7 linked regions of the Macaca mulatta genome follow. The protein of the gene in region 7 interacts with the protein of the main gene of each other region in a biochemical or structural test. Links are inferred from orthologs where the notes say so. Each region holds a gene or a part of one and is shown on either strand. Other genes may lie near its edges.

What was found.
Region 1: of the proteins of H3-4 (region 7) and KAT2B, one has a biochemical effect on the other in vitro, tested with the Homo sapiens proteins (2 studies listed by BioGRID). The link is inferred for Macaca mulatta from reciprocal best matches to the Homo sapiens genes H3-4 and KAT2B.
Region 2: the proteins of H3-4 (region 7) and TAF3 form a complex in vitro, tested with the Homo sapiens proteins (2 studies listed by BioGRID, with this or other methods). The link is inferred for Macaca mulatta from reciprocal best matches to the Homo sapiens genes H3-4 and TAF3.
Region 3: the proteins of H3-4 (region 7) and WDR5 form a complex in vitro, tested with the Homo sapiens proteins (4 studies listed by BioGRID, with this or other methods). The link is inferred for Macaca mulatta from reciprocal best matches to the Homo sapiens genes H3-4 and WDR5.
Region 4: of the proteins of H3-4 (region 7) and AURKB, one has a biochemical effect on the other in vitro, tested with the Homo sapiens proteins (4 studies listed by BioGRID and IntAct). The link is inferred for Macaca mulatta from reciprocal best matches to the Homo sapiens genes H3-4 and AURKB.
Region 5: of the proteins of H3-4 (region 7) and SETD7, one has a biochemical effect on the other in vitro, tested with the Homo sapiens proteins (2 studies listed by BioGRID). The link is inferred for Macaca mulatta from reciprocal best matches to the Homo sapiens genes H3-4 and SETD7.
Region 6: the proteins of H3-4 (region 7) and CBX1 interact in a test that uses a peptide from one of them, tested with the Homo sapiens proteins (3 studies listed by BioGRID). The link is inferred for Macaca mulatta from reciprocal best matches to the Homo sapiens genes H3-4 and CBX1.

What each region holds. Positions count from the first base shown.
Region 1 is NC_133407.1:28,522,432-28,526,501, forward strand, and holds the start of KAT2B (histone acetyltransferase KAT2B), read right to left. Parts: upstream 2,801-4,070; 5' UTR 2,769-2,800; coding exon 2,466-2,768; intron 1-2,465. UniProt on the Homo sapiens protein: Functions as a histone acetyltransferase (HAT) to promote transcriptional activation. Has significant histone acetyltransferase activity with core histones (H3 and H4), and also with nucleosome core particles.
Region 2 is NC_133414.1:9,321,854-9,325,353, forward strand, and holds part of TAF3 (transcription initiation factor TFIID subunit 3), read left to right. Parts: intron 1-2,883; coding exon 2,884-3,126; intron 3,127-3,500. UniProt on the Homo sapiens protein: The TFIID basal transcription factor complex plays a major role in the initiation of RNA polymerase II (Pol II)-dependent transcription.
Region 3 is NC_133420.1:8,352,649-8,356,142, forward strand, and holds the end of WDR5 (WD repeat-containing protein 5), read right to left. Parts: intron 2,520-3,494; coding exon 2,419-2,519; 3' UTR 501-2,418; downstream 1-500.
Region 4 is NC_133421.1:9,727,390-9,731,611, forward strand, and holds the start of AURKB (aurora kinase B), read right to left. Parts: upstream 2,801-4,222; 5' UTR 1,997-2,800; intron 1,342-1,996; exon of another isoform or gene 1,270-1,341; intron 812-1,269; exon of another isoform or gene 601-811; intron 1-600. UniProt on the Homo sapiens protein: Serine/threonine-protein kinase component of the chromosomal passenger complex (CPC), a complex that acts as a key regulator of mitosis.
Region 5 is NC_133410.1:148,441,242-148,445,319, reverse strand, and holds the start of SETD7 (histone-lysine N-methyltransferase SETD7), read left to right. Parts: upstream 1-1,278; 5' UTR 1,279-1,563; coding exon 1,564-1,603; intron 1,604-4,078. UniProt on the Homo sapiens protein: Histone methyltransferase that specifically monomethylates 'Lys-4' of histone H3. H3 'Lys-4' methylation represents a specific tag for epigenetic transcriptional activation.
Region 6 is NC_133421.1:61,951,877-61,954,673, forward strand, and holds the end of CBX1 (chromobox protein homolog 1), read left to right. Parts: intron 1-777; coding exon 778-922; 3' UTR 923-2,297; downstream 2,298-2,797. UniProt on the Homo sapiens protein: Component of heterochromatin. Recognizes and binds histone H3 tails methylated at 'Lys-9', leading to epigenetic repression. Interaction with lamin B receptor (LBR) can contribute to the association of the heterochromatin with the inner nuclear membrane.
Region 7 is NC_133406.1:86,178,103-86,181,397, forward strand, and holds H3-4 (histone H3.1), read right to left. Parts: upstream 2,170-3,295; 5' UTR 1,456-2,169; coding exon 1,045-1,455; 3' UTR 501-1,044; downstream 1-500. UniProt on the Homo sapiens protein: Core component of nucleosome. Nucleosomes wrap and compact DNA into chromatin, limiting DNA accessibility to the cellular machineries which require DNA as a template.

The sequences.
Region 1 (4,070 bases), on a different chromosome or scaffold from region 7:
AAATGAACACTTTCAGCCGGGCATGGTGTCTCATGCCTATAATCCCAGCACTTTGGGAAGCCAAGGCGGGCAAAGTGCTTGGGCTCAGGAGTTCGAGAACAGCCTGGGCAACAAGGTGAAACCCTGTCTCTACAAAGAATAAAAAAAATAATAATAATAGTGTACTGGTGCATGCCTGTAGCCCCAGCTAGTCAGGAGGCTGATGTAGGAGGATCACCTGAGCCCAGGGAGATTGAGTCTGCAGTGAGCTACAATCATGCCACTGCACTCCAGCCTGCAGGCAGTGTGAGACCCTGTTTCAAAAAAAAAAAAAAAAAAAAAAGGCCTTAAAATAAATTTTCTATTTCTCTTGTTTGGTCATGAAAGTGACCAGAAAACACTCAAATCTCAAACTTTGGAAGTGGTGCTACATCTCACCCATGGAAATTTGAAAAGATCAAAAACATCAATGCAGGCCACATATGCTCATGGTTTTAGACAAAACCAAAACTTCAGGAAAGTTTTCAGATATTAAAGCTACAGCAGGCAGCAGGAAGTCTTTAAGAGGTGCTGGTAATGATAACCCAATAAACAAATGTTAAAATAAAGCCAGGACAGAAACACTGAGTTGACACAGTTCCTGCATGAGCCCACTTTGGCTGCAAAACGCCAAGGCCACCAAGTAATTGACCTTGCTTTTTTTTTTTTCATAGGTTTTGGGGGAACAGGTGGTGTTTGATTACATAAATTCTTGAGTGGTGATCTGTGAGATTTTGGTGTATCCATCACCCAAGCAGTATGCCCTGAACTCACGACCTTGTTCTTAATTCTGTACCTAGCTCTCCCTTCTGCCTACTACAGTCAGTGGCCTGTTCTCATTCATCTAATGCCCTTCATGATCAACTCCTGGGCTTGCACCTTTCAAAAAGCACACTCCCCACTTCATCTTTTTTGCATTCCTTCTTCAGAAATAACCACACGGCATTATTATTTGTTTCTGTCTTTTCTGCTAAATTCAACGGGGACAAATAATATACTGTCCAGGTCTGAATTGGAATGTGGTCTGTGGACTAGCGTAGTGCCACTTGGGAGTTCGTCAGAAATGCAAACTCTTAGCTTCCACCTCAGACCACCTGATTCAGAATCAGCATTTTAACCAGCTTCCCCAGGAGATTCCCATGCACATGAAAGTTTGAGGAGCACTGGGCTAGATCCCACATTCACTCAACAAATATTTATCGAACCAGTATAGGATACAGAGGTGCTCAACATAAACATGAGGATACGGTGTGGAAAAAGAGCAAGCACAGACATTCCATTGTGACTAAGAAGCTCCTGTAAGTACTAAGAAGAGTATAACCCAGATGTTCCAGTAGAATAAATAATAGTTATATCAAAATTCAGAAGTGGCCACTGCAGCTTGGTTGTGGGAATTGGGAATCCGGAATCTGGGAACTTGACCCTCTTTGCAGCAGGCAGGAAGAATACAGGGAGGTGTGTGAGTGTGTGTGAGTGTGTCTCTTCCCTGCCTCTGCCACAGGCCGCAGGAGCTGACAAGGCCAAGTCCCCGCCCCCCTCAGCTGTCACCCTGTCAAAACAAAGCCGCTGCTGACAGCGCAGGGCCAGCCTGCCCCGCGGCCTCGGGCAATCCTCCCACCTCGGGAGCACGGCCCCCACATCTGGATCTGCAGCTGGGGATGACAGGGTGCCTAAACTGGCACGGAGAGTGGGTAGCAAGAAATGGGTGTCCTCAAACCAAGCAGTAGCGTCCGCGGCGCTGGGCTGTCACCTTGCCAAATCCTGTTTACACCTCGAGCAGCTGGGACAGCGTTTTAACTAAACAAGTAATAATACAATAATGACAGGGCTGTCACTGCGCGCGGCAGCGCCTCCGCCCCCAGCCGAGGGCGTCAGGCGCCACAAGACCCTCGCCTCGGGCTCTGCCCACCTTCGCACCCCGCGCTTTCCTCCCCTTCGCTTTCCCAAAGCGCCAGGAGTCCGGGAGTCTTCTCCACCCCGACTCCTTGCACCCAGTTCCTCCCAGTGGGACACGGGAAGGGATCGACTGCAGAAGGGACCACTCAGTCCCCCAAAAGATGTTTCCCTGCCCCTGGGTCGCCCACCACATGGAGAGCACCGCTCCACTCCCGCGAAAGTGACTCCAGCGAGCTCCTACAGAGCAACAAAACCCCAGAGTAGCCCGGGAGCTCGGATTCCGAAGCTACTCCTTTCAAGCGGAAGGAATGAAGGGCTCTCCGTCTTAGTGATCCCCTTCTTCAAACCCAGCAGGACTCTTATCCAAGAAGAAGCTAATTGGGCTCGGGCGACAAGAGCACTTCCGCGGTGCAGCGGCCCCAGGCGGGAGGCGGGAGGCGAGAGGCAGAAGGCAGAAGGCGGGAGGCGGAGGTGGAAGCGGGAGGGGGAGGGGGGTCCCGCGGGCTGGGCCCCTAGCACCCATCCGCGGTCCGAGAACGGCGAGCGCGTACCTTGCAGGCGGAGTACACTCCGAGTTTCTCCAGTTTCTTGGCCCGCGGAGCGGAGCGTAGTTGCGCCTTCTTCACGGCGATTCGGGCCGAGCCACCGCCTCCCGGTCCTTCGGCCGTGCCCGCTGCAGCCACTGCCGTTGCCGGACCGCAGGCGCCCGAGCCCCCGGCAGCAGCGGCGCAGGGGGAGCCCTGCGGGGGCGCGGGCGGCAGCACCACGGGCTGCGGGGGCAGCGCCCCGGGCCCGGCCCCTGCCCCGGCTCCTGCCCCGCAGCCGCCCGGCCCGGCCCCGCCAGCCTCGGACATGCCGCCCCGGAGCACGGCAGGAGGCGCCGAGTGTCAGGCGCCGCCGCCGCCGCCAGGGTCTCCCTCTCGGGCTCTGGTCGTCGGGAGAGCGAGACCCTCCCCCCACGCCCTCCCGCCCCCTTCGCCCACCCCCCTCCCCGCCCCCGCCCTCCCCCTCGCGCGCCGCTCGCCGGGCTAGCTCCGGCCGGGCCCCGCGAGCTGATGGTGGCGGCGGCGGCGGCGGCGGCAGCTGCTCCCCCAGGAGGGAGGGGACTAGCGGCTCCGCTGCCGCTGCCGCTGCCGCTGCCGCTGCCACCGCCGCCACAGCACACGCCCTTCCTTGGTTATCCTGCCCGGGACTCTGCTCCGCGCCCTGGCTGCGGACATGTTCCTCGGGGCTGCGGACTGGGTGTGCGTGCGGGCGGGTGCCAGCCTCGCAGTGTGTGCCGGGGCCGGGAGGCCCCCCACGGCTTCTTTTCCGCTGCCCGCGAGGTTTGCACCCCCCACCCCAGTGCCTCGACACCTACTGCTCGCCCGCCAGGGGGCGAGGCCAATCCCTGGGTGTGGGTGAGGGTGGGGACGAGGGTGGGGGTAGGGGACTGGAGCCCAGGCACCTGCTGGCCACCTCCCCCCTCCGCGGCCCCCCATCCGACCCCCGCACGCCCGCACCAGTGGGAGGGGGCCGCCTCTCAGTCATTTGTCCTTCCACTCTCTTCCACCCTGTCTCTGAGCAGAGACAACTTCCTCCACCCTAGCGGGAGCCAGAGGAAAAAAAAAATATTTTTGAAAAGTACCCGTCCATGCTAATCCTTTTCTTTGTTGCTAATTCACCAAAATAAAAGCGTGATGTTTTCCCTTTCTCTTTTTAAATACTTTCTGTCAAACTATGTTTTAATATAATTAACACTTTCTTCCTATAGCAATTTGTGGGTCAAATCTGCCAGAGGAGGGGGAAAAAACTTACTATTCCCTGTACTTTTTGTTTGAAAGTGCTGGTTGCTAAAAGAACGATTGTCTAAAAGCATTGTCAAAATAAAAACTATGTGCAGTGGAAAAAGTTTGAATACAAAAAGTTTGTTAACAGGACTCGTTTCTGGGTGGTGGTTCTATCACGTTACGTAGTTTTCAAAATTGTACCACCAGCGTGCATATTAACCAGGAAAAAGATATAAGCATCATTCAAAAGAATAAATACCGATTTTGGCCTCAAACTTAAAAAAAAAAAAAAAAGAAAAAAAAAAACCCTCAACTCAGTTTTCAACTCTTGTTGAAAACTGTTGTTTTCTCTGTTGATGACTGTGGAGCATACATGTCAGTGCTGCG
Region 2 (3,500 bases), on a different chromosome or scaffold from region 7:
TTTGTTTCTTCTAAAATAAATGTTCTCAAGTTAAAGCAAGTATTAGAAGTTACCATTAATTCAAATAATGAACAAATAATGAACTTCAGAATTGCCTTAGGCTGACAATTTCTCCAAGCATTCAAGGGCAGATGTCTCTGTCTGTGTCACATTATATATTAAATGTGTTGGCATGCGCTGAAAGCAGGTGCTAAATCTTTCAGACTGACTCTTCAACACTAGTACTGTAATATTTTTTGTATGGTACAGGGAGTAAATGTAAAAGGAGTAAGAGGAGAGATGGTTGTAGGCTATGGATTCTGGGGTAGGATAACTTCACAGAAAAGATAAGATTTGAGTTGAGCTATGAAGTATGGTTGTATAAAGGTATAGAGTATTCCGGGTTAGAGAATCACATAAACTAAGCTGTCCAGGTGAGATTAAGCATAATAAAAGTACCAGTAAGGTGTTCAGCTCCCTATGCAGCTAGTTCATTCCAAGGGTGTCTGAGGAAAATGTTCAACACAGTGAAATCAGGTTATGGAGGGACTTAAAAGCTAGACAAAAGAATTAAAACATGTAGTAGAAAACATTGCATACTTCTAAGTAGGGGGACAATATGATTAAAGTGGTATTTTAAGAAAATTGTACTGACAGTGATGTGCACAAGACATTGAAGTGGGCAGAACTTGAGACTATACTGAGACAGGGAAGAATAGAGAGAATAGAGAGAATAGGAAGAATAGAGAGTAAGAATAGAGAGAAAGGAAAAAAATCTGAAATCATGGTTTAAAAAAAAAAAAAAAAAGGTGCCCGGGGATGGGGAGGGGGACAGGGTTAGAAACAGTTCCAGGTTTTGGTTTGAGGCTGCAAAGCATATGGAGGAATTTAAGATGATTATATTTTTTAGACTGAGAGAGTAATAATAGCTTTAATAGGAATAGAAGAGTTGAAATGCCTGTTTACGTTCAGTAAGAAGAGTATTCGTTTTATTTGTTTTCTCTTTTTTATACATCATTAGAAGTATACATTAGAAGTAACCCATGCTTATAGAAAAAAAAAAATCAAAGACTGCAGAAGTATGTAGAGTTAAAAGTCAGTCTCCTGCTTCCACCACAGCCCTCCCCTCTACTGCAGCTTCCATCCCCTTCAACTGTTAACCATTGGCTGAATATCCTTCTAGACGTTTCTGTATGCATTACCACACATGCGTCCAATTCTAGCAAGATTTGGATTCTTGTTCATTTTACAGGGTGATTTAATTTCAGACATACTGAGTTTGAAGTGATCAAATTTCAAGATTTCAGTTAAAAAGTCAGGATTTCAGTTAAATCCTTTAGGCTATTGAAAATCGGAAACTGGAATTTTCATAGACATTTTTAAAGATGTAGAGACCTTAAGCTCTGCTAAGGATAGGCATAAGAAAAACTTGCTTTTGTAAAGAAAAAAACTCACTATATCTAACTTTTTATCTTTTTATCTCTGTTTTATGTTGTGTTTTCTAATTACATTTGAAATTTTATAGGTAAATTACCTTTATGACTGGGCATGGTGGTGGTGCACTGGTAGTCCCAGCTACTCGGAAGGCTAAGGTGGGAGGACGGCTTGAGCCTGGGAAGTTAAGGTTGTAGTGAGCCATGATTGCCCTACTGCACTCCAGCCTGGGCAGCAGAGTGAGACCCTGTCTCAAAAAACAAACAAAAACCAAACTTTTATGATCTGAGCCTTCTTTGTAAATATTCTTAGATTTTAAAAATTCATTTAATGGTATAATTCATTCAGTAGGTATTTATTGAGTGCCAGCTATTGTTATTGAGTTCCAGCCACTGTTTAAAATTCCGCAGATGCATCAGGGAACAACAGAGGAAATGTAACAAACATTGATTTTGTCAGCACAGCACACTACTTATTTGATGATTTAAAAAAAAAAGGCCAGGCACATTGGCTCATTCCTGTTATCCCACCACTTTGCGAGGCAGAAGCAGGAGGATTGCTTGAGGCCAGGAGTTCAAAACCAGCCTGAGCAACATAGCAAGAACTCATCTCTACAAAAAAAAAAAATAAATAATAATAATAATAACTAGCAAGGCATGGTGGCATGTGCTTATAGTCCCAGCTACTCGGGAGACTGAGAGGGGAAGATTGCTTGAGCCTAGGAGTTTGAGGCAGCAAGGAGCTGTGATCATACTACGGCACTCCAGCCTGGGCAACAAGCAAGATGCCATCTCCTTTTTTTTTTTTCCCCCCCTGAAACGGAATCTTGCTCTGTTGCCCAGGCTAGAGTGTAGTGGCGTGATCTCGGCTCACTGCAACCTCCGCCTACCAGGTTCGAGCAGTTCTCCTGCCTCAGCCCCCTGAGTAGCTGGGATTACAGGCGTGCGCCACCATGCCCGGCTAATTTTTTTATTTTTAGTAGAGACAGTTTCACCATGTTGGCCAGGCTGGTCTCGAACTCCTGACCTTGTGATCTGCCCGCCTCAGCCTCTCAGTGCTGGGATTACAGGTGTGAGCCACCGCGCCCAGCCAAGATGCCATCTAAAAAAAAAAAGACAAAACACTATTATTATTATTTCTGGGGCATTTTCTGTGTGTCAGGCACTGTTGCAGATGCTTTTGATCATCTGTAAACTACTTTGAAATTTGTTCTATAATATATAAGCTGATCATGAGTGTGATTTTTCTGTGGTGTTCTGGCTAGTTGTCTGATCATATTTAAGCTTGACCTTAATAATCAGCTTAAACATGATTCTGTGATGTTCTATTTAAAATATTAAATTCTTTCCAATAACTAGGTTAAAATGTTTGATTCTGAGCTGCATATTTACTTACTACCTTTTTTAATATTTAAAAATATATTCACGGGATTTCTTCAAATAATTTGATTTGCTTTTGGCTTTGTTTCAGATGGCCGAACAGACCCAGTTTTGGATGATGTTGGTGAAGCTTTCCAGCTGATGGGGGTTAGTCTACATGAACTAGAAGACTATATTCACAACATTGAACCTGTCACCTTCCCACACCAAATTCCGTCATTTCCCGTTAGCAAGAACAATGTACTTCAGTTTCCTCAACCTGGAAGTAAAGATGCAGAGGAAAGAAAAGAATACATTCCTGATTACCTGCCACCCATTGTGTCTTCTCAAGAAGGTTTGTGAGTGTTTCTTCTTCATTTGTTAGGGACTATTTTAATGGATTTTTGATCCTCTTAGCTTTCCATGCTATGCCAACTTTATACATTCTGGAAACACAATAGAAACATGTACTGTTATTTACAAATTATTCGAACCCTTAAACCAACAAACTTGCAACTGACATTACCAGGCCAAGCCATGGTGTAATCAAGGTTATGTCTGAAGCATTTATCTCCTTTGTAAAGTTTGAGTAGAGGAAAACGGTGAAGCCAAAGAGAAGCCTTTCAACAGCCCTATTATATGAGAATGGGGTATTAAGTAAACTAGAAAACCTTTAAAACAAAAAGAAAAATTGGGGTAGCTCTTTCCTCCTCGCTTACTATTCAGGCC
Region 3 (3,494 bases), on a different chromosome or scaffold from region 7:
CTGGAGAATTATTTTGAGACACCACACGTTCACCGCTTACATGGTAGAATGTCTGGGATTTGTACTAAAATAACAGAAGGAGCCCATGAACAAGGAAGTTCCTGCAGCAGGGACAGGAAGGAACCTGGGGGCGCCACGCTCTTCACATCTGAAAGCTCCTGTTAGTTTGTAAGGCATACCGTGGAAGATACTCCCCAGCACGGTGGTGGCAGCAGGACTTTGGAGGACCTCTCCTCATCTGTGCCTACCTGCCTAACACTGTCAGTAATTAGCACACAGATATATACCTAAGAGTGGAAAAATCAATACAAAATACATAGAATAATTAGCACAAAGAGATGACTTTCCTACGGTTACCGTAAAAACCCAGGGCTGTCCTGTGGGGCACACTGGCACACCAGACACTACCCCCACCACCAGGGACAAAGCCCCAGGGCGGCCGCCCTCCCACCCCACAGAGACAGCTACGTTTGAAGTTAAGAAATTCTCACAGGACAAAATTAGAAGACATGAAAATTTTTATTTTCAAAAAGAATGTATTTTTACATAAATCTACAACAGAATTCAAATGTAGAAAAAATAAACTATATTCAGGGATACAGCGCTCAGCACAGCACACCCCCTCCCCGGAGTGGGCCATCCTCCCCAGAACAAGACTGAAGGAGGCTCGCCGCCCCCAGGACCCCCACAGCAGGGCAGCCGCAGGCTGGCACACGGAGCTTCCCGAGTCTGTCACAACAGACTGCAAATGTGAGGCGCCCAGACCCTGAGCGTCGAAGACAAAAACCAACCCATTTTCACTGTGGTAACTCACTTCTTAGCGCAGGTCACTCATCCGTACACCTCATCAGAAACAGACGGGCAAGGGAAACCACAGGACATACATCTCCAGATGCCTCGGATAATCCCCTCCTCACCTCTGCCACTGCAGGACCCCCAGGAGAGCCCACCTGACAACCCCCGCTTCCTCCCTGGGCCAGTGCAACCAAAAACCTGCAGGATTCACCCAGGACTCCAGGCCCTGAGAGGCAGAGCCGGCTGGGCTCCCCCAGGACTCCAGGCCCTGAGAGAGGAAGAGTTGGCTGGGCTCCGGGGCCAGGGCCCTCTGTAGACCCAGGACCCAAGCGGGCTTCCCAGAGCATCACAGCCTACACCACCCCAAAGCGCTGCCCCGTGGGACAGACCCAGGCGCCCGTGCCCTCGGCCACCCTGCTCCGCCCTGTGTGGCAGCCCTCACCACAACGGTCTCCACGGAGCTCAGGTTTCAGCCTCGCTCCCCAGAGGTGCCAGCTTGGCCTCCACTGTAAACTGCTGTGCAGGTGAGCACCAGGAAGCCGCACCGCCAGGAGCACAGAGGGGTGGGCGGGCGAGTGAGGGTTCCGGCAAGGACAGTGAGGCTTGCGCTTAGCACCCAACCCCTCGAGGATGCCGAAGGGCAGCGCTGGCCCTGCAGCCCTCATAGGGCGCATCAGTCCCACTGGCATCTGACCTGGAGTGAAGGGCTCAGGGAGCGTTCCCATGCCACAGGCATCCTCCACATCCCAACGGGAGCCCATCAGGAGCTTGGCTCCTTCGCAACTAAGAACCTCCCCACCCCCGCTCCTCCCCCAGCAACACTGAACAGTGAACCTAGAGAGGAAGGCGGCTTCAGAGAGCAGGCGCAGCCAGCCTCAGCACCACCTTTCCGAAGAAACCTTCCGCCCTCTTGCCCCAGGGGAGCCTTTCTCCAAGAAAGCCACATGGAGACGAGCTTCACAAGGACTCACTTGCCACAACCATTCACAAAACCCCACCTTTTATTACAGTCTGTGGTGCTGCTTGTTGCAGGGACACTGAGACAAACAGGAGCGTCGTGCGCAACGACTGTGCTGTCGACGTGTGGCCCACAAGCTCCCGAGACACAAACGGCTCTTTACACGGAAAACCACCACACAATGCTGCTTTCCAGAAAGACAGAAACACACTAGCAACGGCTACTGGCGGGAACGGAGGAGTCAGGGCCCGAGGCCAAAGGGGAGGCCAGCTGGCGGGGCCACGGTGGCGGTGACGGCGTGCACTGGGTCATGGAATATCAAAAAGATACAGAACGTTTACTGAAAAAACACAACGCATGTTAAATTGAACTTCACCCTTTTGTAATAAAAAATTAAAAATTTTTGTTGACTCTGTTTGAACACAATAGACTAGGAACTCTTCCCTAGACAGTGTTAGAATTGGCAAGAAATGTCACCAGCAACTTTTAGAACTTTCCGGTGGTCCACACCTTCCGCTCGGCCAAATCATCTTCAAAGAGGAGGCTCGATCAGGCCCTGTCCTGACCCCCAGGCGCAGACCCTGGGGACCACCTCCAAGACACCATGTTTCTTGCCAATCCGGGTCAACGTCCCGACAGTCCCTCGCGGGCAGGCGCAAAGGGACTTAGCAGTCACTCTTCCACAGTTTAATTGTTTTGTCATTTTCTAGCGCAGCAGAGGCAATGATGTTTTCTGTTGGGTGACAGGCTGTTGAGATCACAACATCTGAAAACAAAGACACAGTCAGAAACAGCCATCCCTGTGCCCTGGGTGCCATCCCAGACTGAGCTCCACCTCTCCCCAGAAACGCTGGTAGCTCCTGCACACCACCCGGGAGGTCTCAGGACAAGCAGCTGCTGCCCACCCTCGACACAGGGAGCCCAGGGGAGGGGAGCGAGGGGACAGCAGCTGGTACCAGGGCGACACAGCCGGTTGGGGGGCAGGGGCAGGAGGCCACAGGGAGTGTCAGCCCTGCCTGCAGACCAGGAGCCCCGCATGCCCCTACTAGCAGCAGCTCGGCACCCACAGGGAGGAGCGTGGCAGCAGGACTGGCTCAGAGGCCAGCGCGCACAAGGACCCCAGTCAGACCCCTCACGGTCCTCAGTCCTTTATCGACAATGTCCCTCTTTTACTCGGACCCTGAGCTGCCCACTCCCGCCACCTCCCACCAATGCTGAGCCTCAGAGCGCTCCACAGGGCTGGCTCTGTCACAGCGAGGACAAGTCCACCACCCGAGCAGGGCAGTCAGATCTAACAGGCTGGTGCAAGGTCGGCCACATCAAATCACAGTTTACAACTTCTACATAAACCAAAGAAACCCCAGAACACCGGTGAGGACCCGGAGGAAGGCCCAGGCCCGCCGTGGAACATGAGTGCTGACCCCAGGCTGGGTGAAGCTGCTCGAGCAGAGGGAGAAGCAGCACCTCCCCCAGTTTCCACAAGGGCTTGCCCCCCCCATGCTCTCATTGGCCCCATGAGACATGGAAATGCAGGGCCAGAGGGTGAGGAAGCAGTGGTGGCTGCAGAGGGCAGCCAGGACCCAGGGAGGGGCAACCCCAGGTCGCTTGGGAACCAGCACCGCTGTGGAGCCCACTAGGCCTGCATGCAGCAGGGGTCTCTCTGGGAGAGGGAACAGGTAATCGAAAGGAGCCAGAGCCTCCAGGATGGGGCAGCGATGACCTCACTGTCCCCGGCCCAGGA
Region 4 (4,222 bases), on a different chromosome or scaffold from region 7:
TAAAAAGGCTGGGCACGGTGGCTCACACCTGTAATCCCAGCACTTTGGGAGGCCCAGGCGGGCGGATCACCAGAGGTTGGGAGTTCGAGACCAGCCTGACCAATATGGAGACACCCCCTCTCTACTAAAAATACAAAATTAGCCGGGCGTGGTGGTGCATGCCTGTAATCCCAGCTACTCGGGACGCTGAGGCAGGAGAATCCTTTTGAACCCATGGCTGGAGGTTGCGGTGAGCTGAAATAGTGCCATTGCATTCCAGCCTAGGCAACAAAAGAGAAACTCCATCTCAAGGGAAAAAAGATACAAACAAACAATAATAATTGAAAAAAATTCTTAAAAAATTTCCATACAACAGTAATTTTTTTAATTTTTAAATTTATTTTTACTTTTATAGACTTTAGGGGTACATGTGCAGTTTTGCCTCAGGGATATATCACATAGTGCTGAAAGTCTGTACCCAACTGAAATTGTACCCAACTTCTGAATAACGTTCACATTTGTCTCATTCCCCTCCTATCCTTCTACTGAGGAGGTTTTTTTTGTCCTGTCCCTAAAAATGTCACCGTAAATCTATTTGATTAGGGAAAACAATGTTTGGTTTGACCCCGACGTGATTTGAACACGCAACCTTCTGATCTGGAGTCAGACGCGCTACCGTTGCGCCACGAGGCCTGCCCGAGAGGGTGACTTGAGGGGTCTCTTGAACAGCAATAAGGGGAGGACTTTTGTCATGAAGCCGTATCTTTAAGATTTGTCAGCGCATTTCTGCGAGGCACCAGCTGACGAGATGTGGGCGCACGTACGTAGGAATCTGAATAAATAATAAAGAGGCAAATTGTGTTTAGGCGCATTTGACTTAGGGCCCAGTTCCTTAACTTGAATCACATTGAGCTCATTGAGCCCACTCTACAGAGAAGCGATTTTTATGCGTCTAGGACTCTTTTTTTTTTTTTTTTCTGGAGATGATAAATCATCATGATGCCGCTGCAGTTCTCGCCCCCTGGAGAGATCTTAGATGTAATCCCAGCTCTGCCGGTGACTCAACTTCTTTGGACCTTGGTTTCCTCGTCTGTAGACTGGGCATAACCCTACAGGTTCATGTGGGGTGGCGCGCACTAGCGGTAAAGGTCACGCACAATTGCGCCGGGCAGACGACAGCAGCCATTACTTTTACCTGGATCTCGCTGATGCTGTTTCCCTGGCTCCGCACGGGTCCAACGCGACTCACCGCAATCAACATGAGGTATGAAAGAAAACAGCAGTACCTAAGCGTTGGTGGTATAGTGGTGAGCATAGCTGCCTTCCAAGCAGTTGACCCGGGTTCGATTCCCGGCCAACGCAAGTGCATTTTGAATTTTTTTTTTTCCCTCTTTTCTTTCTCGTGTTTTCTGGGCCCCACCATCGTTGAGGATTTTCGTGAGGTTTTCCTGAGGAACCGTCCTCTCCGAAAGAACCCGCTTTCCGCTACACCTGCGACCACTGCCGGACCACCGCGCTCCTGGCGGATGCGCCCTGCAAGCCCCTCCAGGTGAGAGCAGCCTGTCGGAATTTCGGCCCGGGGTTGCCTACTGTTCCCGGATCGCAGTGCGAATCCACAAAACGCAGGGAGGTGAAAGGAAACAAAAGCCCGGGCTCTGCACCCTGGACAGCCGGGGGCCAAATGGCTGCTTGCCCAGGTTCAAGCAGAGACTGGAAATGCGCACTGCCGTCAAGGAGGGAGCAAGCTAGATCAAGTTTGAGCACTAATGAACATATTGAGCGGAGGAGATAGTGGCCACTTTAGGTACACGTTTGAACTCCAAGTTGCTTGAACTAAAATGGAAACTTAGAATGCGAGCTGGAGAGGTAGGCCAAACTTTCCTCCCCTCCTCCTTTCCCTCTTTTTTCTAGCTCCATCCCAGGGGCCAGGACGGATTTAATGAAAGCAAAATCATTTGGATTCTCCCCCTCGGGGAATGGAACCCCGGTCTTCCGCGTGACAGGCGGGGATACTCACCACTATACTAACGAGGAGTGACCCGTCAATGGTCGTCTCCAAATCCTTGATCTGGGACTTTACACTCGGCTTGCTGACAGCAGAGTTCCTAAGGGTTCTGTTCTTCCGACCACCGAGAAAAGCCGACCAGAAACTGTAGGTGTATTTCAGGCACCCATCGTCAGACGGAGTGACCGAAAGAGACAGAGTACCTCCAGGGCTGCAGAGAACCAAGTTCTGACAGTTCCTGGGCTCTCCCGAACACTGTCATCCACAACTATAGATTGATGGGTGTCAATCAAACCGAAACCAGGCTGTAGTGGCGGAGTTGAGACACCACGCAGGAAGTCAAGAAGCAGAAAGGGAGCGTCCTGCCCAAGTCTGGGCGTGCCTCGTCTCTTCCTGACATGCCAGGCGGGTCTGGGGACTGAGATTCTTTCTGTTACCCCGGTGCCACAAAAGAGCTTACTGTACATTGATGATTTCCAGTGAAGCCTCCTGCAGCGCTGGTCAGGTAACACATTCCTTGAAGACACTCTTATTTCAGCAAAACGTAAAGGAGGGCTCGTCCGGGATTTGAACCCGGGACCTCTCGCACCCGAAGCGAGAATCATACCCCTAGACCAACGAGCCGACGTACGAATGCCGTTGCGAACCGCCCTAGAGGTCGTGCCAGGCTAGCTGTAGTGCCGGGTCCACTATGCATGGCAGAACGGTCCTGGCGCCGCTCAGGAACCAGCCTCCCCCAAGCCTAGTATTTTGGAGCACGGGTCTGGGAGTCCCTTGGCTCTGGGCCGCCAGCTCCAACTCCTCCCAGGAAATAGCGTCGAGGAAGTGGAAGGGAGTGGCCTCAGCCTAGCCCCCGCGCCGCCCTGGAGGACTGCCTTGAACACCCGGGTTCCTGCTTCCTTTGGTCACCGACTCGGTGCCATTCCGTAACCTGGGATCTTGACAATTCCCGCCTCCGCCTGCGGTCCTTGGACCTAGTCCTTCGTTGCAGAGCTTTGAAGAGAAGCGGTGGAGTTGCTTGCTTTCGGGACGGGTCGGAGACAGTTAATGAGCCTTGAAATCACTAGGGGAACACCAGTTCCCCGTGTCTGTCTATCCTCCTGGGCTAACGGGCAGGGCAAACCCCGGGCCAGACCCGTCGATAGACTACGGGTTCCCCAGACCGCGTGGCAGTGCCCAGGCGAGGGAAAGAGGGAACGATTTCTGGGGCCCAGGAGACCCACGGTGGAGGGCGTTATTGATCTGGGTGACTGGAGTGGGACAGGCTTTCCACCCTGCAGTGGGGCGGGGCGCAAGGCCAGGCGACTAGTCTCGTGGCTTCTGGACTGTAAGATCAGGTTACCCCTACCCTCCGGTCTAACCTCTGCTCTCCAGTCCCCTCCTAGAATGGCCTAGAAGGAGACCTTCCTGCCTGCCTCCTAAGACCCCCCCGAAGGCTCTGAGGCAAGTGGCCTCACGAGTGTGGTCTAAGACCTGTAGACCCGGTTTGGGGACTTAGCAGTACTCCGGAGCTGCCCAGAGTCCCAGAAGATCTGGTGGAGTCAGTAGCAGACCACGTGTTCTGCCTTTCCTCAGCTCAGTGCCTGTTCTGGGGAGTCCTCCCCGCGGGGTTCTGGCCTGCATCGGTCCTGGACCAGCCTGGTAGCATCTCTGGAACCATTTTGTTCTACACCCCAGTTATGTGATTTGTGGGGCCAGGCCGTTCCTAACGCCCAACCCATAGATACGTTGACGGGGCCTTCAGTGAAGGATTCAGCTCCTATTTGTCCTTTCCCAGGTGTCCCTGGGCAGACAGTGGGGAAGGGCAGAAGTTAGCCCAGTCTTTCCCATTAGTGTCCTAAGTCTTTGAGACGGGTAAAGAGGTTCTCAGGGCTGATCTGGCATCTCCTCCCCCATCCCTACCCTTTTCCAATTCCTGTCTCCCTCCCCTTGGGCTCCAGCTTTCTCTGCAAAATAATCCAGTCACCTCTTTCTTCCCTGGTCTGAAGAACTTAATCTCTGCAGAAGGGGAGGCCTAAATCCTTTATGACCCTTATGAAAGCTATGACCCTCTTCCCCGGGGGCGGTGGCTCACACCTGTAATCCCAGCACTTTGGGAGGCTGAGGCGGGTGGATCACAAAGTCAGGAGTTCAAGACCAGCCTGGCCAAAATGGTGAAACACCGTCTCTACTAAATATACAAAAATTAGCCCGGCACGGTGGCACGCGCCTGTAATCCCAGCTACTTGGGAGGCTGAG
Region 5 (4,078 bases), on a different chromosome or scaffold from region 7:
AGCATTGTTCTCTTTTTCACAGAGGAAAAACTGCCTTTAAGAAACAAGCCGGCAATACTTGACAAAAATATCTACCATTTAAGCACAGAGCCAAAAACAAGGAGTAGTCTCCCGGGCGCTGGAAGTATTTTGAAATCCCCAAAGTCTCATTCATTGTTCAGAAAGCAAAATGGAACTACTTTTTTTTTTGCTCCCTCCTCCCCTCCATGCAGTAGCTGTTCTTGGCAGGTGCCCAGAGTGGCACCCGGTAATTCCACGGTACATTGTGTACATTTGCATCTATTTAATCGGCTATTTACAGTCGTCCTTTACCGCCACCTGTAAGAGGCAGCGCCATAATGACACTAAGTGGCTGGGCCGGAAGCCGGGTGCCCAGTGGTTTTCTCCACTTGAGGACGCCTGAATCTGTGAAGTGGTTGGCACTTGGAGAAACAGGGAGACAGCTGGGGACATCGCACTTACAGGGCGGGAGGCGCGGGAAAGAGGCGCGCCAGACGGAGGGTCCTTCCTTCCTCGTTAGCTCCACTCGGCGGCTCCTTTTCAATTACCACAGCCGCGAGAAGGAACCTGCCGAGCCTTCGGTGCGGCTTGTTTCCTGCCTGACAGAGAGCCCGCTGCCATTTGGATTTGATGCATTTCTGAATCACCCGAGGGCCTGGCGACCCGAAGGAGGGCGGGGAGTGGGGGCGCTGGGGTGGACCCGCCATCCTGCGGAATCCGGGCCAGATAACAGCCCCCGAGCTCGGGAAATCGGCTTGCGGATGCGATGCGGGACCGCGAGGACACCTGCGCTCCGGTGCGTGTCGCACTCGTGCAGCTCCCGGTGGCGAACGGGGTGATGTGGGGGCGAGGGTGAGAGGAAGTCCAGGCGCCAGAGCGTCAGAAACGCTTCCTTAGCTTCCCTGGCACTTTGGAGGTTGTCTCGAGGGGGCACGGACAGTGCACGGCGGACTTTCAAGTTGCTCCCGGCACAACTGGAGGCCGGGAGCTCGGAGCCCCCACGGGCCGTCCAAGTGTCCGGAAGAAGCCTGCAGCGCCCGGGACCGCGTTGCGCGCTCGGGGCGCGCCAAGCCGCGCCTAAGCAAAGGAGAAACGCTCACGGGCCAGAGGCGGGTTGGCTGGGACGCGGAATACGCTCGGCCCCGGAGCTCCTTTCGTTTTAAGGAGCCTTACTTCTGGAAAGGGACAGGGAACTGTCAATCAGCGAGGGAGGGAGCGCACCGGCGCTGGGTGATGTCAGCGGATCAGCTGCTCGATAACAAAGAGGGGGTATTACAGGAGAAAGTTGCAGCAGCTGCAGCGGCCAAGGCGACACACCGGAGCCTCCGAGGCGAGGGGCAAGTGGGCGAAGGGAGGGGGGACGACGGCTGCTGCCGCAGCAGCTGAAGGCCAAGGAATTGAAAGGGCTGTAGGGGGAGGCAGTGCGAGCCAGCCCCGACTGCTCCTCCTCTTCCTCCTCCTCCTCCAAACTCGCGAGCCCCAGAGCTCGCTCAGCAGCCAGGAGCACCCGGAGGGACGGGAGGCAGCCGCGCAGCCCCGAGCTGGGCAGGGTCCCCAGCCGCCATGGATAGCGACGACGAGATGGTGGAGGAGGCGGTGGAAGGTACAAGCATTTCTCCAGGGCCGGGGGAGGAGGCGCAGAGGGCCCGGAGCGCGGAAGGAGTGGCGGGCTGCAAGCGGCGCGGCGCCGGGCCCCGCGGCCGCCACTGTCCCTTACACGGGTGGCCGGCTGCCCGGCTCGGGCGGGGGCCCGACAGCCACGGTCACGCCGCCGGGAGCGCGCACTGCGCGGCGGGGCGCAGGCCGAGAATGGGGCTCTGCCAGGCCGGGGGCGCTGGAAAGGCACGGCCGCGCCATCCCGCCCGGCCACAGCCTGCATCCACCCTCGGAGTTGCGAAACCTGCCCCGCGCTCTGGCCTTTCCTCCTTTGGGCGCGGAGGGTGGGTGCACTCCTCAGGGCAGCCGCTTGAGGCCGGCGGACTCCGCGGAGCAATCCCCTAGCCCAGTTTTGGCCACCCGGATTCCCTCCCGGCCGCCAGCCCTTTTCTTCTGCTGCCTCTGCGCCCAGCGGCGGCCGCGGCCGCGTCCGGGTAGGTCCCCCGGCGCAGCGCACGGGGCCAGACCGGGCACGTGGCAGCCGCGGCCCAGGCGGTAGCGCTTCCGAAAAGATGAAATCATTGTCGGGCGACTGACAAGGCTCCCGACCCGGGACTCGAACGCGCGCCGTCCGGGAGGCGGGCGGCCCTCCCCTCCGCTGCCCCCGAGCGAACTCAGTCAGGCCTCCCCCTCCCCCTTCCTGCTTCGCCGGGGTGCAGCCGCCACGCTGTGCAGGCGCGCCGCGAGCCCGCACCGAAATTGCTGGGTGACACTTAACTTTCTGAATTCCATGCCGTTGGCTGTGGGTGATATCACCGCCTCGGTGTCGTGTTTCTCCGCCCCTTCTCTTCTACCGCCCCTCCCCCGACTTTTCTCGCCACTTTGTTTTGCTGAGTTTCTCCACCTTTTTTTTTTTTTTTTTTTTTTTTTGCTAGTTCTGAAAAAACGATGTGGGGACGTTATACAATCTCGTTGTTTGTATCATGGGATGTTATGATTTTGTAACAGCGAATACTGGAAAATACTCTTTAGTGTATTTATTTGGTTCCACTACATACAGTACGTCGTGATGTTTTTCAGTGTGGTGTGGTATGATACCAGAATGTTTTAAACCAAGCATGTGAGTAAATAATTTTTAGCTGTTTGTTGAATCTGGTTTCTGTCCGATTTGTATAAACACAAGTTCTGACGAAAGATAAAGAAAAAAGTGGCAACACTACAAATGCGTAAGGATACATGGTTGTTGTTACATTGGGAAAAATCAGTTTTAATGTTTTCATAAACATAATTCCCTTTGCAGTGCTTCTGAGGTCTTAAGGGGAGATTAAGCAGACTAACATTTCTGAACTCTTGAAAAGTATTCAATGTAATGCCAATATTAAAACTTATTTCTTCATCTAACTTCGAAGCCAATTAAAGAGTGTGTGGTTTTTGTTAAGAACATTTTCACCATGTTGTGAACTCACAGAGCTATTTATCTCTCTAATAAATAAAGCCCATGTTGGGGCTGACTGGAGCCCAGATACATTGATTGAGTTGATCCACAGGGAGCCTTCTCAGAAGTTAAAAGTTGTTGACTTCTTGTGCCTCCATGTTGTGAAAGATAAAGGAAAAATGATCCCAGGATTGTTAGGGTTTGCTTTCTTTCTTCAACATTTACTTTTACTTGTAAAAATTAAATACAAACCCTTGATTGCTGGTACTGTTCTCCGTGTTAAACCACATTCATTCCCCTTTGAAGCTGTTTACAAACATATGTCCAGTTGTCCACAGTCCTCAGGCTCCTTTGCAGACTGTGACCAAGAGCTTTAGAAATGTATCAGTATTGTTTCTGTGAGACTGTCCACTGGATTCGAAAACAGGGAAGTTTACATAAACAGGGATGGTTTTGTTTTATAGGGTAATCATCCACATTATTGTCCAAAATCAGAGCCCCCTTGAGAATGAGGGGCTATTAATAATGATGCTGGGACAAGTAGCTTAAGCCTTGAATGTCTGGGGCAACCTGGGACACATGGTCACTCAGTTGTAGGTAACTAAACAATTAGAGCAGCACAGAATCTTTAAAAGCCCAAGAAGCATCTCAGGCTCTAACTTGCACAGTGCCAGGAGTGTGTATGTGCACATGCAGTAAACTGTACCTGTGCCATGCACTCTTGTCCAGCCATTCTTGGCCTTGTGAGTGCTGTTTGCAATAGTCTTTACATAACATCTAACACTTACACAGGGGACTGGTATAAACTGCTTCTGCTCTTTCCCAAAGAGAAGCTAGTCTGAATATCTTAGTGTTTAAGTACCAACTAATCTACCTCTTTCCATAAACAGAGCCTCTGTTCTCAGTAGTTTCACTGTCATAGCTATTATTATCGTTGCTATAATTGTTTAGTTCTTATTAAGTGCAGGCTGTGTGCTAAGTGTTTCACAGACATTATCCATTCAGTCCTATTCAGTCTTATGAGGTGGGTACTAATATTATCCTAAT
Region 6 (2,797 bases), on a different chromosome or scaffold from region 7:
TGCTCTGGCCAATGCCAGATGTGGTATTTAATCCTATTACAGGCCGGGCGTGGTGGCTCATGCCTGTAATCCCACTTTGGGAGGCTGAGGCAGGTGGATCACCTGAGGTCAGGAGTTCAAGATGAGCCTGGCCAATATCTTTCGTAAAGATGGCAAAACCCCATCTCTACTAAAAATATAAAAATTAGCCGGGCGTGGTGGTGTGCACCTACAATCCTAGCTACTAGGGGAGGCTGAGGCAGGAAAATCGCTTGAACCCAGGAGGCGGAGGTTGTGGTGAGCCGAGATCACGCCACTGTACTCCAGCCTGGGCAACAGAGTGAGACTCCATCTCAAAAAAAAAAAAAAAAAAAAAAAAAAGTCCTATGACAAAGCCAGGATTTCTCCGTGGGTTCTTATCAGCTGGGATATGGCTTTTGGAGGAGTGTGGTATCTTCTCTTCCCTCAGAGAATCTAGATAGCCTCTCTTCCTTCAGAGAATCTAGAGAGTCATGCTTTTGGGGGCCTTGCCCAGATGTTCAGATGTGATCGGTTAAGTCCATTGACCTTACTTTTGACATACACGAATCCCAAGAGGGAATTTTCAACAGGAGAGGATGTCACTCTGAGGATGTCACTTAACATAAAATTGCCAGTAAATGCTGCTTGGGCCACATTTTCGTTGTTCCCTAGCCAATTTTATAAAATTACTATTTTTAAAGCACTATCCCCTGGGTTAGTGCTTAGGATAGACCACCAGCACCTGGTCTCAAAGTCTCTCTTTGCTTTATTCTGCAGGAAAAACTCTGATGAGGCTGACCTGGTCCCTGCCAAGGAAGCCAATGTCAAGTGCCCACAGGTTGTCATATCCTTCTATGAGGAAAGGCTGACGTGGCATTCCTACCCCTCGGAGGATGATGACAAAAAAGATGACAAGAATTAACGCTCCTGAGTACCAGCCCCTGTCACATCTGACTGGGTTTCAAGTGGGAAGGGAAGGAGTTCTACTTGTCTTGACACCATAGAGGTGGCTTGAGAAGATGTCCTTTGAAGAGCCAGTATAGTTTCTGTGCCCTGCAGCAGCCCAAGTGCTTTAAAGCCGTTTCAAGCTGTATAGTTTGCACACCCATCCCAGTGGAGGGGAAAGGGGATAAGTGTTTCAAGGCAACCTTTTCTGCACTTTGCTGAGAAAAGCAAAGGGCCTTCTATGAAGGACAAAACTTGCAGAATTGGGTGTGTGGGAGAGCAAAAAAATACTGTAGATCTTCAAAGAGCATCTCCACAACCCACAGCCTTCTTCCCAATAGTGTTAACTCTGCATTTTTACAGCGTAGCATGTGTGTAGTCTTTGGCTATTACTGGTGTATTATTTGGGGGAGGGATGGGGAGGGGAGAAAGGGAGATGGGTAGCATCACTTTGATTAACATTTGGGGCCTGATAGGGGAAATGGTGAAGCAATGGAAAAGAACAGACAACTAATGATTTGCTTCTATGTCCAGAATATTTTACCTTAAAAAAAAAAAAAAAAAAGTCATTGGCACCATAAATAAGGACTGTGAGAGACTGTTTAAAAGCTGTGAATGTCTGAAACCTATAAGCCAAGGTGTTCCCTGCCTAAACTTATTGCTGTTCCCACAAAGGACTAAGCCAGTTCATAAGTTACCAAAGTTGCCATTTTGGAGATGGAAATTGATGAGGAGGGAGGAAAGTCTTTTATTGGAGAGTATACAGTACAAGCAGATCATTCTGTCTCAGAGGTGCTAATAAAATTAGAAGACCCTTTCTTTTCCAGTAACGAAGTTATAAATATCAGCTTGTTCATCCAAGCCACTGGCTGAGGTGTTAGGGAAGAGGAAGAGGGTGGTAGAGGAGATAAGACAGTAGGGAAAGACAAGGGCCCTTGCTCTTAGTGGGGAAACCTCTTGGAGCCGTTCTCTTTTTTGAGCTTTGAACTCTGAAACCATTGTTGGCTTCAGTCACTGACAGCACAAGTTTCACTGAATTGATCTAAGAGTTTAGTGATTTCAAAAGCCTTGGTCTCAGGAGAAGATTAAACTTCCATATTGGGCAGTGGTTCACTTTAAAACACACACACACACACACAATTTTTTAAGAAATCCTAAGAAGTAACTGATACCCAAAATGCTCTGTCTTGAGTCATGAGATCCATCAGTTTTTGATATTGTCTAGACTTGCATCTAGAGCTACATTGTAAAATCCTTTTAGGCATGTGTTAGATTTCTGTGTAAACTTTGTTTAAATGTAAACTTCATACTACACTGTCAGTTTTTGTCTTAATAAAACTATAGATTTATAATCCCTGATTTCTGTCTTAAGTCTTACCAGGAACTCTTCTTGCCTTATAGGTTCAGCCTGTTGGAAATGGCTTCCTCACTTGGATGGTTTTATTTCTTGAACACTGTAGGCTTGAAAATCTAGTGTCTGGCCTGAATCTTTAAGTGGTCGCACCATATTAATTTAGTAAATACTTAATAGGCATTTATCAGGTGCTGCAGAGATTGTAAAGATGGTCGCATCATGCTGTCTTCAGTATTGCCAAAAGTTTATTGAGCACTCTGACCTGACAGCACTTCCAAACTATGGTACATTTGGAAACATGGGTTTTTAAGTTAGGTTTAGATCCTGCCTCTGGTATGTAATAGATTATATGACCTAAAATCTACTTCACCAAAATTTTCCAGGAATTGGCCCCGTGTTTGAGCACTGACTTAAAATGTCATTTTTTGCCTATGATTTTTTTTTTCCTTTGTGAGACAGGGTCTTGCACTGTCACCCAGGCTGGAGTACAGTGGTGTG
Region 7 (3,295 bases):
CCCCTAGCCAGCCTTCTAACCTAATGGGAGATAGCCCAAGTTAACAAGATATACAACTAGCCAGCTTTCTAAATTAACAGGAGGTAGGCTGAGTTAACACACACAAGTAGCTGGACTTTGTTTTTTTTTTTTTTTTTTTTTTTGGTTTTGAGACTGAGTCTCGCTCTGTTGCCCATGCTGGAGTGCAGTGGCATGATCTTGGCTCACTGCAACATCTGTCTCCTGGGTTCAAGCAGTTCTCCTGCCTCAGCCTCCCAAGTAGCTGGGATTACGGGCATGTGCCACCACACCTGGCTAATTTTTGTCTTTTTAGTAGAGATGGGGTTTCACCATGTTGGCCAGGCAGGTCTGGAACTCCTGACCTCAGGTGATCCACCCGCCTTGGCCTCCCAAAGTGCTGGGATTACAGACCTGAGCTGCCACGCTGGTGAAGTAGCTGGACTTCTAACTGAAAATAGGCCAAGATAACACATACTACTTGCTGGCCTTAACAGGCTGTCTAGGTAGGAGACTAGCTGGACTGGTAACCTCACTGGAAAGAAGCTGTGTGTACACACACACACACACACGCAGGACTTGTAACAGTTTGAAAGAGGCTGAGCTGAGAACACACAAGACCAGCCAGCCTTCCAACCTAACTGTAGATAGGCTGAGTTGACACAACTAGCTGGGGTTGCTTACCTAACTGCAGATAGGCCAGTTACGCTACCCTCAACACCCCGTCCCCAAACAGACCAACCATGATTCTTATCTAAAGGGATAGACCAAGTTAGCACCACACACGACTAGCTGGACTTGTAACTGGAGACAGGCTGGGAGGTAACGCGCATGAGTAGCTGGCCTCCTAACTGGACAGGGTGAACACAGGATTCGCCAGCCTCCCACCCTAATCAGAATTAGGTAAGCCAGCACCGGCCAGCGGAAGGAACCCCCAAAACCCAAGAGCCTGGCTTGCTACAGCAACTCTTCCGACCAGGTGGGTGGCTCTTAAAAGAGCCTTTGGGGTGAACGTTGCGCAACCTCTCAGGTGGCGAGATGGCCCTCCTAGGCCCGCTCCCCACGGATACGGCGTGCCAGCTGGATGTCCTTGGGCATGATGGTGACCCGTTTGGCGTGGATGGCACACAGGTTGGTGTCCTCGAACAGCCCAACCAGGTAAGACTCGCACGCCTCCTGCAGCGCCATCACGGCCGAGCTCTGGAAGCGCAGGTCGGTCTTAAAGTCCTGAGCGATCTCGCGCACCAGCCGCTGGAAGGGCAGCTTGCGGATTAGCAGCTCAGTGGACTTCTGGTAGCGGCGGATCTCGCGAAGCGCCACTGTGCCAGGTCGGTAGCGGTGCGGCTTCTTCACGCCGCCAGTGGCGGGTGCGCTCTTGCGAGCCACCTTAGTGGCCAGCTGCTTGCGTGGCGCCTTGCCACCCGTCGACTTGCGCGCAGTCTGCTTGGTTCGGGCCATGAATTTGAAACTGTTGTCTCTGCTGTGTCCTCTGACCAGACCTAAGCTGATTGCCCGCTTTTATAGAGCTTGCCGCGTTTTCATTGGCTGGCCTCAGGTGGCGTGATGGCCCCCTACTCTCTGATTGGTCCACAGGGCACGCCACTCGGCCGCCTCTCCCTTATATTAGTGCTTGTTGGTCGTGGCCACCAGAGCTAGCACCAGCATTGTGAAGGGTTGATGCGGGTAGGCCACGGCGGTGGAGATCATCTCTCTCCAGCACAAGCTTCCTCGTGTCTCCTCAGCAATCCTCTTCTCCCTTCCTCATGACTTGGGTGGGAAGAGCCTTCCGAAAGCCAGCATGCGGCATTCCACTTTTTTTAAAAATTAATTTTAAAAAAATTTTTTGAGATGGAGTTTAACTCTTGTTGCCCAGGCTGGAGTGCAATGGCGCGATCTCTGCTCACTGCAACCTCTACCTCCCAGGTTCAAGCGATTCTTCTGCCTCAGCCTACCAAGTAACTGGGATTACAGGGATTACAGGTATCCACCACAAAGAGATGGGTTTTCACCATATTGGCCAGGCTGGTCTCAAACTCCTGACCTCAGGTGATCCACCTGCCTCGGCCTCCCAAAGTGCTGGGATTACAGGCATGAGCCACCAGGCCCAGCTGGCATTCCACTTTTTTTTTTTTTTTTTGAGACGGAGTCTCGCTCTGTTACCCAGGCTGGAGTGCAGTGGCGCAATCCCGGCTCACTGCAAGCTCCGCCTCCAGGGTTCAGGCAATTCTCCTGCCTCAGCCTCCCAAATAGCTGGGACTACAGGCGCCCACCACCACACCCGGCTAATTTTGTTTTGTATTTTTAGTAGAGACAGGGTTTCACCATGTTAGCCAGGATGATCTCGATCTCCTGACCTCGTGATCCACCTGCCTCAGCCTCCCAAAATGCTGGGATTACAGGCGTGAGCCACCGCGCCCAGCCGGCATTCCACTTTTACACAGTGATACAGCTCTGGGATCCAACCAGAGTTAAAGGAGTCTTCCACTTTTTATGACCTGCAAAGAACTCCCTTTGCTGTATGGCTCAGATGAGCCTTAGGATGCTGAAGAAGGTAAAGATATGCCTTTCTGGCATATTAACTCTTTTGAGATAAAGGCACTTAAAAAAAAAAAAAAAAAAAAAAAGAGGCAGGTGTAGGAAGATCATTCTGAATTTCTTGTTGTTTCTTAAAGGCAAGAAATAGAATTCCCCTATGAAAGATGTTCTCCTTATAGTAAAAGGAAGGGAACGTTCTTATCATCAAGGACCAGAAGGTGGAAGCTTCCAAATCTCCTCCAACTCTGAAGCTGAAATTTGATCCCTAAAGTTGGAGCCGGGGCTCAGTGGGAGGTGTGTGGGTCCTGGAGGTGTCACCCTCTGAATAGAGTCCTGCCCTCCTTTAGGGTGAGTTCTCACTCTGTTGGTTCCCTGAAGAGCTGGTTGTTGAAAAGAGCCTGGCACTCCCCTCCCCTCTCTTTCTGGCTTCCTCTCTTGTGCAGTCCTGTGACCTCTGCACACACATGGGTTCCCCTTCACCTTCCACCATGAGCAGAAGCAGCCAGAGGCCCTCACCAGAAGCAGAGGTGGGCCCTATACTTGCTTCCTTCCATTCTCCCTCCCTCCCTTCCTTTCTCTCTCCCTCCCTCCCTTCTTCGCTCCCTTTCTTCCTTCCTTCCTTTCCTTTCTTTTTATCTTCTTCCCTCCCCTCCCCTCCTCTCTTTCTTTTTTCAGTCTTGCTCTGTTGCCCAGGCCCCTCCTACCTCAGCCTCCCAAGTAGCTGGGACCACATCCAGCTAATTTTTAAATTTTTTGGAGAGAT